Linked DNA regions of Zea mays. The protein of the gene in region 2 binds, or shares a complex with, the protein of the main gene of each other region. Links are inferred from orthologs where the notes say so. Each region holds a gene or a part of one and is shown on either strand. Other genes may lie near its edges.

What was found. Proteins that work in one complex are often made in the same cells at the same time.
Region 1: the proteins of Protein ACCUMULATION AND REPLICATION OF CHLOROPLASTS 6, chloroplastic-like (region 2) and Plastid division protein PDV2-like are in contact, whole or in part, in a crystal structure (PDB 5GTB), measured with the Arabidopsis thaliana proteins. The link is inferred for Zea mays from reciprocal best matches to the Arabidopsis thaliana genes ARC6 and PDV2. Residues at the interface, in NP_199063.1 of Arabidopsis thaliana: Trp686, Gln687, Lys690, Phe694, Arg710, Met711, Ile714, Trp715, Arg718, Glu721, Thr722, Leu725, Leu727, Tyr729, Tyr731, Glu753, Leu756, Glu758, Ala760, Leu762, Asp764, Val766, His767, Asn770, Ala772, Thr773, Asp774, Arg776, Tyr778, Thr780; in NP_028242.1 of Arabidopsis thaliana: Glu287, Arg288, Val289, Glu290, Ile291, Pro292, Phe293, Asp294, Ala298, Lys299, Arg300, Asp301, Val302, Thr303, Tyr304, Gly305, Tyr306, Gly307.

The regions. Positions count from the first base shown.
Region 1 is NC_050102.1:3,025,112-3,033,199, reverse strand, and holds Plastid division protein PDV2-like, read left to right. Parts: upstream 1-2,900; 5' UTR 2,901-2,994; coding exon 2,995-3,249; intron 3,250-5,596; coding exon 5,597-6,310; 3' UTR 6,311-6,618; downstream 6,619-8,088. Other genes in the region: uncharacterized protein LOC100382699, read left to right, coding at 147-246, 331-396, 485-574, 728-883, 1,565-1,903. UniProt on the Arabidopsis thaliana protein: Component of the plastid division machinery consisting in a binary fission accomplished by the simultaneous constriction of the FtsZ ring on the stromal side of the inner envelope membrane, and the ARC5/DRP5B ring on the cytosolic side of the outer envelope membrane.
Region 2 is NC_050099.1:246,973,408-246,980,459, reverse strand, and holds the end of Protein ACCUMULATION AND REPLICATION OF CHLOROPLASTS 6, chloroplastic-like, read left to right. Parts: intron 1-310; coding exon 311-541; intron 542-654; coding exon 655-879; intron 880-1,480; coding exon 1,481-1,741; intron 1,742-1,849; coding exon 1,850-2,714; intron 2,715-2,956; coding exon 2,957-3,090; intron 3,091-4,326; coding exon 4,327-4,620; 3' UTR 4,621-4,907; downstream 4,908-7,052. Other genes in the region: uncharacterized protein LOC100283844, read left to right, coding at 6,215-6,227, 6,909-7,033. UniProt on the Arabidopsis thaliana protein: Component of the plastid division machinery consisting in a binary fission accomplished by the simultaneous constriction of the FtsZ ring on the stromal side of the inner envelope membrane, and the ARC5 ring on the cytosolic side of the outer envelope membrane.

The sequences.
Region 1 (8,088 bases), on a different chromosome or scaffold from region 2:
TGTTCGTCGCATCGCATGCTGCTGCAGTGCTCAGAGCTTCAGGCCAGTGGTGGCATGGCAAGGCATGCATGGCGTGTAGTGCATGTGCATGACGACGACATTCATGGACCATCGGTGCATGTGCGATGCGGTTCTTTTTCTTTCAGGCTGATTCTCTACCGGCTGGAGACGGTGGATCTGAGGCGGATGACGGGCGGGGAGAAGCTCGCGTTCTGGATCAACGTCCACAACGCGCTGGTCATGCATGTAACGTTCTCGACCTTCATTTTCATCTATGGAGCTCGACCGTTTCTGCAACTGAATGATGCTGATGATCGATCCACCACGTAGGCGTACCTCAAGTATGGAGTCCCGCAGCAGAACCAGCTGAAGACGACGACATCACTGCTTGTCAAGGTAAAGCCGAACCACGTACAGTTCCTCCTGATGAGTCATGAACAGCAGCTGGCCGGCAACAATGGCTGACACAGGTACTCCCGTGCAGGCGGAGTGCAAGATCGCGGGGCGCGCCATCAACGCGGCGGCCATCCAGGGGCTGGTTCTCGGGTGCACGGCGCACTGCTCCTCCGGGCATGTAAGTGCCCTCCTCCATCCACCACCATCGCATGCATCCTCCACACCATCATTGGGGGTCAAAGAACGTGCGTGTGCGCAGCGAGGAGCACGAAAATGCGTTGCTATGCTAACCCGTCGCTTTTGTTGGTCGGTGCATCGATCGCGCGCGCAGTGGCTGCGGGCTTTGCTGCGCTACCCGAGGACGACGACGAAGGCGAGCCGGCGGGCGAGCAGAGCCGGGGGCGAGGAGTGGCGAGCCTTCGCCGTCCGCCAGCCGGAGCCCCTTCTGCGTTTTGCGCTCTGCTCCGGGAGCCACTCCGATCCCGCGGTGAGAAAACCAACCAACCAGCACGCCCCTACCCCTTTCGGCGATCCTGTCTCTCTTTTCTTCTTCTTCTTCTTCTTTTTTGGGTGCAAGTGCAATGCAAACACGCAAAAGCTCCGCGTGTCTACGTTTTTATACGCAAAGAGATTAAAGTGGGCACAGATGGCTGACAGAACATAAAGCCTTGAAACCATGGCTGGGCAGTGTTGTTGGTTCCTAGGAACTCTCTCAGACATGATTGAGCTCGATCACCTAGTCTAGTGCATGCATGGAGATGGAGTAGTCATGTCCAGATGTTTCTGAAAGTGGTAGAAGCTGCTGCATGACGCACTGGAAACCAGTCGCCTGTCGCATGGATTGGACGGATGGATCGATGGATGTACGTACGAACACAATGATGATGAAAGGAGCTTTTGCAAAGCACCTATACTTTTGTATCCTTGGTATATGTCTGTTACGTATACCACGCTGTTGGTCATCGATCCAATCCAAGCACTCGACGGACGGCGCATCATGATCATTATATACTGTCTGTTGTTCAGTTCAGAGTCGATCAGTCCGCCCGCCAGTCGTCGCCGGCGGCGCGGCGGATCCAGCCCGCACTGTCTCGATCGACAGCAGGAATGAAGGATGCTCATTGCTCATGCCTGCGCTGCTGTGTGTGTGTGTCCGTGTGGCGTGCAGGTACGGGTGTACTTCCCGAAGCGGCTGGCGCAGCAGCTGGAGGCGGCGCGGGAGGAGTACGTCCGGGCCACGGCGGGGGTGCGGAAGGACGACCGCCGGGTGCTGCTGCCCAGGCTGCTGGACGCCTACGCCCGGGACGCCGGCCTCACCGCGGACCGCCTCCTCGACGCCGTGCAGCGGTGCCTCCCGGAGACGCTGCGGACGGCGGTGCAGCGATGCCGCCGCCGCGGAGACGGGCCCGGTGCCGCGAAGGCAGTCGTCGAGTGGGTGCCCCACCGGCGGAGCTTCCGGTACCTGTTGGCCAGGGACCTCGCCTTCCCGCACCTCAGCCTCAGCTAGCTATAAGCTGCACGTACGTCGTGAAGATGATTCCTCGTACGGTGACTAGTTGAAAGATTGGTAGTTGTGGTGGGGTGTGGATGACTTGATAGATTTTGGTTCTAGATTAATGATAATGATGATGATTGCACATGGTCCATTAGGCACGGGCATTCTTCATCTTAATTTGCGTGTGTGTGTGCTGTAAACAGATGACACATCGAGCTTAGCTTGTAGATATAGCAACAAATGAAAGAGATAAACTAAGTTTGTATTATTGCATTGTACACCACAAAAGTAATTTCACGAGATGATCAAATGGCTGGAGCAAGGAATCAAGGAATGAAACTCTAACAAGCATACCCTAACCACATTTTCCTCAAAAGAAAACACACATAAGATCATCTGCAACAGTACCTTAAATCAATAATATGTCTTAAAATATACGACTCAACTCTACAAAATACTTCAACAATACCTGATTTTATATCTTTATACAAAAAATTATTACAGGGTAGACAATTGCATGTCCCAAATATACTATAACCCGGATTAGTTACCTGTTCGTGTTTTCTATATTGTCTTTGACCTTTTTTTCTAATAATACAATTTATTTTCTAAAATATATGATTTAGGATTTTGTTTTGTAGTCCTAAACACTTTAAATAATATAGTATTTTAATTCTTTAGTACTATTTTGAGGCATCTTGTTAGAGCTCTAACTAGCTTACTACAAAGACATTATTAAAAGACAGGCACTAAGCTACTCAGGCAGCATTGAGCCACCGTGCAAAAGAAAAAAAAGTCAGTCAGCCAGCCCAATTTCTCTTACAATAGTTAACAGGCCCAAGCCCATAGAACGCGGGTGCACACAGCAAACGCTGGCGGTGGGCCCCACCGGCAGCGGATACGCCTCGGCCTCGGCCTCGGCCCTCGACGTCTCCACAGCCACGAACACGGCACTAGCTGGCCGCGTGCACCCCGCGACGAAGCCGGCGTTGGCCACCCACCACCACAGCGCACGCGTCGCTGTCGCGCGCCTGGGGTTTTCCTAGGGTTTTGTTTTTACCAACCCCAGCCGGGGGAGCGCGGAGGTGGCGGCGGCGGCGGAGATGGACGGGGAGGAGATTGGCCTGGTCCTCGCCCGCGCCTCGGACCTCCGCACCAGGATATCGGCCTGCGCCGCTGCCGCGGCGGGGGCGCCGGGTCCGCGGCGGGACGATGAGGAGGCAGCGAAGCGGTTGGACGCGGCGGAGGGCGATGAGGAGGGAGCCGAGGAAGAGGAGGATGAGGAGGAGGAGGTGGAGAGCCTTGTCGGCATCAGCGACGCGCTCGAGTCGCTCGAGCGGCAGCTCGCCGCCCTTCAGGTCTGTGGATTGTCTAACCACCCAGTCCTTGCTTTCACGGATTTTTTTATAGTAGCTCGTGGTCGATCTGTTGGTGCCTTTTCTGCTTGGATTTGGAAACTAATATATTTTGATCATGAATTAATGCTACCGAAACAGGGCATAGTGATAAGAGCATACTAAATGCAGGTGCAGGGCATTAGTGGACTAACCGTGTGCTGGCTCATAGGATGTTTCAGTTTGCTCCAGTTCATGAGTCTGTTTTTTAGGCATGTAAATTGCCTGCCATTACTAGTAGCAGATAGGAGTTGGCATGCAGTTATCTAAACATTTCCATTGCTAGCTGTATCGAGCTGTGAAATTTGCTCCAATTTGAGTTGATCATGAGCATGCATTTTTTTTTCTGAGGGAAATTGCCTGCCGTGCCTACCACTGGTAGGCAGGGTTCACCAAATCGGTGGGGCTTCAAAAACCGACCAGGACCGATTAGCGATTAATCGTGATTTATCGGCATAAACCGGTAAAAACCGGCCAAATCCAAATTCAAACCATTTATTGAATCCGCTCGATTTGACATCGATTTATTGGCTGATATGACCAATTAATCGGTTCCAGAACTGATAAACCGACAGCACATCAGGTAAAACATAATCTCTTGTTTTTGCAAATAAAAACATGTTTAGGTCTCAACAATTGAACAAAAAAATGCCCCAAATGTTATCACAAGTCCAATAACAACATTTACCCGTGGTAATTTAAAAAGATTTCAAGTGAAAAGAGAAAAAAAATCCCCCTAACCCTAGCTCCTGTTCGACCGCCGACTAATCAGTCCCACACATCGATTTATCGGTTTTGGTGAGCGGTTAATCAACAATCTTAACCGATTAGCCGGTTGGGCCTTCGTTCCATCCAGCCCATATAGCAGTTTTTTTTTTCCGAAACTTTGATTATTTTTAGTTTGAAATCCATTGCGTATTTTGAAATTTGGTTTCAGCAGAAAGTATTCAAATAGTTATCAAAAGTTCAATAACAACATTTAATTAGTGGTCCAAATGCATTACATGACACGGCATGGTTCAAATATATTACATGTCTCACTTTTATAGTTCACACATAACATTGAAGATACAATAAACCTTCCGCCTCTAACACACACACGCACGCACGCGGCACGCACGCACACGCACGCACGCTGCACGCACACAGACACACACACACACACATCGTAGCAAGCTTTCATATCAAGTTTTGTTACATCTAGGTTGAGGGGCAGTTAGGTTGATGACAATGGCTTTAAGAACCATTTTTTTGTTAGATCTTAGTATTACTGTTTAATATTTTTTATAACTATGACTATCTAGTGAGGACAAAAGCTTTTTCTTCAAATCATTATAGGGCGCCCGAATGGCACCTAATGTTCTAGTTATCTATTATTACAAGTATTTTATCCCATATTGCATGTAGCATTGGTAATTTGAAAAGATTTCTAGTGAAAAGTAGAACCCCCCCCCCAAACCCTAGCCCCTACTCGGCTGCCGGCTAATCAGTCATACACATCGATTTATCATCTTTGGGGAGCGGCTAATCAGTAATCCTAGCCAATATATCGGGTTTTCTTTTTTTTTCTTTTCCCGAAAACTTCCATGATTTTTAGTTTGAAATCCGTTGTGTATTTTGAAATTTGGTTTCAGAAGAAAGTATTCAAATATTCCATAGTATTTATACAAAAAATGGCATCAAAAGTTTTCAAAATATATAAATTCTACCAAATTCAAAAGCCAAAACTGGTGTGTTGGCATTACCGCCCGGTGCCGATTACCGGTTAGCCGGCCTGCTAGCCAGATTAATCAACCGGTTTGGTGACCCTTGCTGATAGGGGATTGTTGTCACTTGGCGACTAAATCTATCGTTTATTACTTGCATTAAAGATTTAGGCATTCAGGGATGTTCTGCCCAGTCTTTTGCGAGTAATTGGATCCATTGAGCTCCTGTCGTTCACAAATACTGGTTCGATTTTTTTCTTAACGATGATAACATTCTTGCCAGAAATTTGGGCATGATGTGCAGAAAGGGGCATAAACATTGTAACGCGGGCTTTCATTGCTAGTGTTGCTTGTTAGTCAATTGTTTATATGAGATTTATAACACATCACATTTATTTTGCTATGTTATGTTATGTTTATCGCACCGACAGTGGGTTTCTTTTGGTGACCTCACACCGGTGAGCTACTTACTGGCTGTGGTAGTTGAGGGTGTGTTGTTTCCTGTTACTGTTAATGATTGCGTGGATTATTGATTCAATGCTTGTGTTGAGACTGTTTCAAAATCATCATCTACCTGCTAACACCTTAACAAACGCCGCTGCCAGGATCTCCAGCACCAACAAAGATACGAACGGGAAACCATCTTGAGCCAGATCGACCGAAGCCGGAGGTCCCTGCTTGCCAAGCTCAGAGAGTACAAAGGGCAGGACTGCGAGGTGATCCACGAGGCTGCCGCCTTCGCTGGCGAGAGAATAGAGCGCGACGACAGCCTCGTCCTGCCTCCTTACTCGGACCATGTCACCAACTCGTTCGCGCTCGACGACCTGTACCCTCTGAGCTACATGTCCAAGCCCAAGCGCCTGCACACTCAACCAGACTCCGAGGACGACGGGACTGCGCAGGACGACGCGAGAAGGAACGGGCGTGAGAGCAGAGATACCAGGGCCTCGAAACGCGGCTCGGGAGGCGGAGGGGGAGGAGGAGGAGGAGGAGGCATCGGAGCCTTCATGGGATGGGTGGCTAAAACGGCGGTCATGGTGGTGGGCGCCGTCTGTGTCATGAAGGCCGCTGGATACGAGTCCGTGACGTGGAGGAACGGCGGCGCCAGGCTGGACATTGCGGGTCTGTTCGGTGGCGGTGGTGGTAAGCAGGCGGTGGCGGCGGGCGGCGGAGATGAGCGGCGCGCTCCTCTGCGGTGCCCTCCCGGCAAAGCGATGGTGGTCGAGAACGGCAGGGCGCGTTGTGTCGTGAAGGAAAGGGTGGAGGTGCCGTTCGACGCCGTCCTGGCACCGCCGAGTTCGAGGTACGGTTTAGGCTGAAGCCCACTCTCCCCCGCTGCGCCCGCGCCTGTGTGTGTGAATAGTAGTAGTAGGGTGTAGCTCTATCTATGTGGTGCGGGAGTTGCTTAGTAGCTGCTGGGGAACGGTTCTTTGTAGAACGTGTTGCTGGGAGCTTTGTTTGTTAATTCTGCGTTTGGTGCTGAGCATTGGGCAGCCTGGAGATGTTGAGGCTATGTATCATGGAGAAGAATAAACCCTTGTGCTCTCACACTGGCGTTGTGGTGAGCAGTGAGCTCTTCTATTATCCGGCATGTCTGGCACTATATGAGCCAATCACTGTACCATTGAAAATTCCCCCGTGTTGTTTACTCTGCTTCTGCTGGGCCCATGGTTAGTAGTAGTACTCGGCATTCAGGTCCAGGCTGGGTCTCAAGTCCTAGGTATGCGAACCACGAGGTAGAGCAGCAGTAGGCTGGCCGTGCCCGTGCCCGTGCCCTGATTCGATTTGCCTTCCTTGTCCAGCAGTATTCAGCGCCAGCGTTGTACTGGCAGTGATGAATGGTGATAGATAGAAGAAGATGACCATAGCCGAGCCGCGTCCGGGCAGGATGCTGCGCCGTCCGTTCGCCGCGCCGCATCCTACTACTCTTGACTTTCTGATGAGTACTACTACTAGTAGTAGTTCGTAAACATGTAGCTCGGCCGCCAATCGCAACGCATGGTCTCTTGCAGCTTGCACACTTTTGCGGCAGCAGCACACACAGGTGAAAGGCCATCCCTATTCCCATCCAGTTGACATGCTTGACTCGAGACCCGTGCCACCGTAGCACAGCAACAGCAAAGCGCAACGATACGGTTGGCGCACACGGCGAACAGAGGCCTCTTTGCGCTCTTGTTCTTTCCAGCTAGCGGTGGCGCACGCGCATGCGTGTGCAGATGAAGTAGCGCGCGGTGTCTGCTCGCCGCGCCGCGCTCTACATACACTAGTACAGCTGTAGCATCGGCATCGGCATCTGTCCGCCGCCTGCATTGCCATTGCGTGGCATGCATGGACGGCGATGGAGTTGGCTAGGGACTCGTGCCACCACCAACGCCTGCCCGACTTCACTACTTGGCGGTCCGGGGTCTAGAGCGAGCAGCTGCGGTGCCTATATACTTGTGCTGTCCGTCCGTGTGCCTCCGCCGCGTCCACCGTTCGCGTGCACGCACGTGTGACTGATTACCGGGGCCAGGTGGGTGTAGACCAAAAGCGAGAGCCCACGAATGCCTTTTTTTCCCATGTTGGGCTTGCCTTTTGAAACTACAATATATCTATGACGGCAGGTGCAAAACATTAGTATTTTACAATATATACTATATTATTTATATAGTGGAGTTTAAAATAAGGAGTGTGATAGAGAACGCGAGATAGTCTAAGAGATGTTACGTTACATTTATAACGAAATGATAACAAGAGAACTAGAGAGAATGGAAATGGACTGCTCACTGATAGCCGACTGAAAGTGGGTTGCTCAGAGTCCAAGATAGTTTGTGAAAAAAAAAGAAATAGACCAAATATTAAATATATATACTCCCTCCGCCATAGTATATAAGGTGTAACGACTTTTTTTTATTAGCCCATGACATAAGGCGTGTTCTTCTAAACATGTATACATCGATGCAACAGTATAGAAAAAAACTAAATACATTTCGTGTTCTTTAAGTCAGATGTGGTTACACCTTATATATTGGAATAGAGAGAGTATACTATAAGGCTTTTAGTTGATTATATGTGACCTTGTATATTATTAACCTTGCTCAAAGACATACAAATGTGG
Region 2 (7,052 bases):
AGCTGGATATGACACCAGGTTCAGTAAGTTCCATATTAGATTTCTTGCTAGGCTTTGGAGCACACGAGTCTCATGAAAAAATGCATTTGTCACTGCTTTCCACCATGTCTGATGGACTAATACCAGTGTTACTAGTTATTTGGGTTTCAAAAAATCCATCGTATCTGGCAACCTACATCGCACCTTATTTAATACGGAATAGACGATCTTCTGTAGAGAGTTGCACTCCAATGGCTGGGATAAGCATAATAACCTGCAATCTTGCATGCTTGATTTTGCGAAGTGATCTGATGGGTGTCTATATGCTCAGATTCTTGGTGCGGAGCCACATTTCCTAGGCGATGGCATTCGGAGGGCGTTCGAGTCGCGGATAGCTAAGCCACCTCAGTATGGGTACAGCACAGAAGCTCTTGTTGGGCGACGGCAAATGCTGCAGATTGCCCATGATACTCTCACAAACCAGAGCTCGCGCACCGAGTACGACCGTGCGCTTTCCGAGGACCGTGATGCGGCACTCACCATGGATGTTGCCTGGGATAAGGTGAGGTTATGGGACAGCAAACGTGCGAACAATGCTATCTGTTTCTTGTAGAATCTGTAAATAGCGCTGGCGTGTAACTTGTTGCTGCCTCTCTCCGGAAACTTGCCAAGCAGGTTCCAGGTGTGCTGTGTGTGCTTCAGGAGGCTGGGGAGGCACAACTGGTGTTAGCAACTGGAGAGCACTTGCTTCAGGACCGTCCACCTAAGCGGTTCAAGCAGGATGTGGTGCTAGCAATGGCATTGGCTTATGTGGACATATCAAGGGATGCTATGGCAGCAAGCCCTCCAGATGTAATCTGCTGTTGTGAGGTGCTTGAGAGGGCACTGAAGCTCCTGCAGGTGAACTAACTTGCTTTAAGGTTGCAGATCCAATATGTCTTAAGGTGGCTGTGTACATACAGTTGTTTTAATCTTAATGTGACATGTTCACTGTTAGGGCGAAATATGTGTGCAGTACATACCATATTTTGTAGATGAACATGCTCCAGGTTTTATATAATTGTTTGCTGTTGATACCGATTACCACTTGTTTTCTTTGGTAAACAAAATCACTTTGGGTAAGCATTAGTTCAATAGTACTTCTCACTGCACTTTAGATCTCAGTAGGCCTTGCATCAGTATCAGTTATAAAAAGCCTGAAACCATTGGCTACATCATGGCACAGCCATTAATACTGTTTCACTGTAAAACCAATCTGGTATGAAACTATTAGGAACTGCTGTATAGAGATAATGAAATGCTCTAGTTTTTTCTCTTTCTCCTCTTATTCTTAAAATTATCATCCCATTATTGCAAGCTGCTAGCACAAAAAATGTCTGCTGCATTTTTAGCTGTCAGTTTATTTTCACTTGTTATTAGATCAGCGTGTGAAGGTTTTGTAGGTTCTGTCTTGATTAGAGATATCTTGGTAAGCACTACTAATGGAAACATTTTACTTTAGGAGGATGGTGCAAGCAATCTTGCACCTGAACTGCTTGCACAGATTGATGAAACTTTGGAGGAGATTACACCTCGTTGTGTATTGGAGCTTCTTGCTCTTCCTACTGATGAAAAACATAAAAATAAACGCCAAGAAGGTCTGCAAGGTGCAAAAAACATATTGTGGAGTGTTGGCAGGGGTGGTATTGCTACTGTTGGAGGAGGATTTTCTCGTGAGGCCTTCATGAATGAGGCTTTCTTGCAGATGACATCAGCTGAGCAGGTTTGTGTCTACCAAGTTTAATGAGCAACATACTGTAGTGTGTAGTCTGTCCATTTTACTTGAACACAGTTTTTAGAAGTCTTCACTCATTTTCTGTTTATATCTCAGATGGATTTCTTCTCTAAAACACCGAATAGCATACCACCTGAATGGTTTGAGATCTATAGTGTCGCACTTGCCCACATTGCTCAAGCAATTGCAAGTAAAAGGCCACAATTCATCATGATGGCAGATGAACTCTTCGAACAACTTCAGAAGTTCAATATAGGTTCTCAATATCCTTATGAAAACGAGATGGACCTCGCATTAGAAAGGGCACTCTGCTCGTTACTTGTGGGGGATATTTGCAATTGCAGAATGTGGCTTGGAATTGATAATGAGTCCTCGTCATATAGGGACCCCAAAAATATCGAGTTTGTGGTGAATAACTCTAGCATGAACGAAGAGAATGATCTTCTTCCAGGGCTGTGCAAGCTCTTGGAGACATGGCTTGTCTCCGAGGTATTCCCAAGGAGCAGAGATACCCGAGGGACGCAGTTCAGACTGGGAGACTATTACGACGACCCAAAAGTTCTAAGCTACTTAGAAAGGATGGAAGGCGGTGGTGCTTCCCATTTAGCTGCAGCTGCCGCTATAGCAAAACTTGGTGCTCAAGCTACTGCTGCGCTTGGTACTGTAAAATCAAGTGCTCTTCAAGCTTTCAGTAAGGTTTTCCCATTGACAGAACAGCTAGACATGTCAGGCAAGGATATCCCAAGTGATGATCTTGATAAATCTCTTGAAAAACTCGCCCAAGGAAGTGTTGCTGGAGACGCTATCCATGATTCCAGAAATGACGCCTTGAAGATTATCTCTGCTGGTACACTGCTTGCACTATTTGCAGTGTTAGGTCTCAAGTGCTTGCCTCGTAACAAGTCACTTCCTGCTCTTAGGGGCGAGTATGGGTCTGTGGCGGTTGTTGACTCCATTGATGGTGAGTAAACCTGTATCAGATAGCATTACTTTCTCCAAAGTCACTGGGTTTTGCTTGATGCTCCTGACAAAGCCGCGTAGCAAATATTCCACATAAATTGTGTCCAGGGCCATAACACTTCCTATTTCTATATGTAATGCACATCATAGAAGTGCACACATAAAATGCTCATAGAAGCCGTATTATTTGTTAAACGTGCGTCTGGCCAGGGAAATTAATCCTTCCATCTTTGTTTGTTGAAGGTCCAGCGGCAGATGAAGAGCCACTGGAAATCCCTAGGATGGACGCGAAGTTGGCTGAAGACATTGTTCGCAGGTGGCAAAGCATCAAGTCCAAGGCTTTGGGGCCAGAACACACTGTCACGGCATTGCAAGAGGTGAGGTCCCAAAATTTCCATCTTTATAGCTGGCTAGCGCTTTTGTTGGTTTGTCCCAAACAATCCCCAACACACACATGTTGCTGGAGAGTTGAGAGGCACTTTGGCTGTGCGGTCTTTGAAAACTCGACCTGCGGGGGTAAGACAGCCCCCGAGCATTGTATTAAGAAAAAGACCTTCTCACACAGGTCGAGAAAACCCCCGAACCCCTGCCCCACCCATACACAGCGGCATCGAAGCCCATGTGAGAACGACCACGACCGGGGCTGAGCCTTAGACCTGTGCTTTGGCGTGGGACAGACGAGAAGATTTTTTTAACCACAGCCTGAAATTCGCTCCCACGGGGAGTCGAACCCAGGACCTGAGGAGTGCTACTCAAACCACCTAACCAACTCAGCCGCCAATGTTGGGGACTTGTCCTTAAATGCTATGAATTAAGAAAAAGGCAACACAAAAATTGTTAAACGTTAAAGTCCTTCGTCCTTCGAAGCATTATTTCTGTTGGGATATAATGAGTTTCAGACGAAGGTTATGAAGGACGTACCTTCATCAGCACAACAAATAATGAAGAAGGATTCATATAAAATATAAGAAATAACATAAACACTTAAATATTATTATTAACTCATTTCTATTTTATTATTATGGAAAAATAGAAATAATAACAAATTACAAATGTACCTTCGGCTTGAAAGAATGTAAAAGTACAAGCGTGATGCAAAAGCCAATGCCAAGTCAGCGTGAACAGTACGGGAGCATTGTTCATCTATTTATAGGCACGAGACGCAGCCCATGTAAAATTACACTTATGCCCTTTACACTTGCTAATAACTCTATAGTAATCCATCGGGGTCTAAATAGTCTTTTCTCCTTTAAGTCGGTTTCATTTTCTGCTATCACGCCGAAGCTCCCCTGCGCATAGCTTCGGCTCTGCGCCATCCTTCGTATTCTTTGTGCTTCTTCACACTGTGGTTTTGACGTAAGTCCGAAGGTACCTGTTCATGTATCATACTCCAGAAACATTGTTAAATCATGTTTTTGAGGACCTTCGGAAGGCGAAGGCCCCCAACAAATCCACGCAGTTACATTCAAGAAGAATTTTAGCCATTCGAGATTGACGCAGCAACCACTCGTTCAAATAGTGGAGTGGTGGCTTCTTATTGAACCCCTGTCCTTGTATGACTAAAATCCAGTGCCACTGTACAATGACGTCGTTTCCAATTCATTCTCCGGCAGGTCCTCGGCGGCAACATGCTGAAGGTGTGGGCGGACCGAGCTGCAGAGATCGAGCGCCACGGCTGGTTCTGGGAGTACGCGCTCTCTGGCGTGACGATCGACAGCATCACCGTCTCCGTGGACGGCCGGCGGGCAGCGGTGGAGGCGACGATCGAGGAGGTGGGCCGGCTTACCGACGTGACCGACCCTAAGAACGACGACGCGTACGACACCAAGTACACCGCCCGGTACGAGATGACCTACTCCAGGCCAGCAGGGTGGAGGATCACCGAAGGCGCAGTCCTCAGGTCGTAGGTAGAACGGCTGTGCTTGTGCAGCTGCAGCAGGAGTAGGCGAGTAGCGGTAAGCTCGATTCCCATTCTTTTCTTTTCTTTTGGCAGCGTGTGTAAATAAACAGTGTGAGCACTGGCTCGTTCCAGTACTAGAAAGCTTGGTTAGGTTGCTGAGTGATGAGCTCCTGAGGTCGAAATTTGTCATGTAGTTTTTATTGATAGATAATTTGGTGTTACTATTGCTGGGTCAGATCCTCTGAAACGATTGATCTTAATGAAGGCGGCAGTGCATCACTGCTTACCACATCACTACGTCAGACAAGGTCACTGCTTAGACTCTATCCGGCAGGTCTTTAAAGCGCCATCTACTCTAAATTTTAGAGAAGATTTCTCTTTTTTTTTTGTCTCCAGCAACATCTTCTAAACAGTTCTCTAAATATAGAGAACATTGTTGCATCATCTCTATATAGAGTTTTTCTCTCTTCTATTCGTTCTAATATTTGAAACAATAGATTTAACAAAACTATAATACATTTAATTAAAAAAACAAAATAAAATATATTTTTAATATAGATATTTACGTATAAAGAATGAGATATAGAGAACATTGTTGTTTGGAGAGGTAAGAGATATAGAGGAAAATGGTAAAGGCCTTCACGAATGAGGTAGGAGACTAAAACACTATTTTATGTTTAATTTTCTAGCTTTTTTTCATGTTGAGAAGCGGCTCAAGCCCCAACAAACAAGATCTAAATGTGAAGTCTGTAATACTTTTTTGTTTATTCTACTGTTATCTTTAGGCCCGTTTGGTTCATTTATTTTAGAGACTAAAGTTTAGTTAGTAGACTAAAGTTTAGTCTCTATCCTATTTAGTTCTAGAGACTAAAACTATTCAAATCACATTAAATGAATTATAAGAGGACTAAAATACCCCATAGTATTCTCATGCAATTAGTGCAACTGAAATAAAATGAGAGATAAAAAGTAGAATTTATATGGTTTAATCACTTTTAGTCACCTAGTCACCCCTTAAGGGAATAGAGACTAAAACAGTTTAGTTCCTATTTTAATCATATCATTTAGCAATTTAGTGACTAAATGAGACTAAAATTGACCCTCAAACCGGGGCCTTATTCGTAGCTGAAACTGCATTCCGAGCAGCACGCTTTGGCCCAAAAAAAAAGAAAAATGTACTCGGAGTCAATAGTTGCCCAAATTGTTTCGATCGCCCATTTCGACATCGTATCGGATTTTTTCAAAATAATGGGGAAAATAGCGAAGGGAAAAAAAAACCCTCCGTGTGGCCGTCCCAAACTCCCAATGAGATGAAGAGAACGCACCACACGACCGCGTGACAGAGGCACAGAGCAAAAGCCAAACTGGCAGCCAGCACAGCAGAGCGCCACTCGACTCGACTCATCCTTTCGGTTCCCCTCCCCCCTCCGCGTTCCACAACCCTCGAGAAGCTTCCACCCTCCCCTCCTGCGACGCCGCCAGAGCCGCGGAAACCCTACCCACCCCGGCCGCTCACGCACCGGGCGCCCGCCGCCGCCGGTCGCGTACCTGCCGCCGACACCGCCCAAAGCGATTGGATCTAGAGATCGTCAGTAGCCACGATGGAGGACTGGGGTGAGCGCCTCTCTCTCTTCCCTCGCCTCTGCCGATCTGTGCGCCGGTGTTCCACCGTCACGACTAGTTCGTGTTCCGACGCGCGGTCCGTCATGGTTCCCGTCCCTGTCCCACGGCGGTTTCCGAATCTAGAGTAGGGAGTTCGCGGACCCTAGGCACGCTCGATGTTGTAGGATTTTGATTCGAGGTCATTTGTTTGTGAGCTGTGGTGATATCCGTTCCGTTATAGGGACATGGTCAAGGGTTTTGGAAATATGGATATATCTAGTCATATGCGTCTCCTGTATATATATACATGTCGAATTTAGAATGTCAACTAAGAATAGTGAGATCCATTAACACTTTAACAGTGATTTTGGCATCTGTACCTGCTAGTTACTTGAAGCTACCTTCATCTCTGATTGGATTAACATGATATTAAAAAAAGTTACCCCCATATAGGCTCCTGACTGCTGTGTTAGGCGTCTTTTCATGCCCGCTTAATTTCCCAGTGTCCCTACACCTATTTCAACCTTGCTATTAGAGGAGGCGAGTATACAGCGACAGGCTCCTCAGGGTTCCTCTTGTGCAATTATCTTAGTTTATATTGAATTTAGGTTTCAAGTTCTGGTGTTGGTTTCTTATGGCACCTTCATATGCTCTGTTTCTGTGTTATGGAAACTAATCTATACTGCATTTCAGATTCTGAAGAATTCCAGCCAGTTGTGCCTGTTGTGAAAGCCGAGCCACTTAAAAATCAGTGGGCTGATGAAGATGTTGAAGAAGATGATGTAAAAGAATCATGGGAAGAAGAGGAGGAGGAGGAGGTAAATGAAATTATATGAT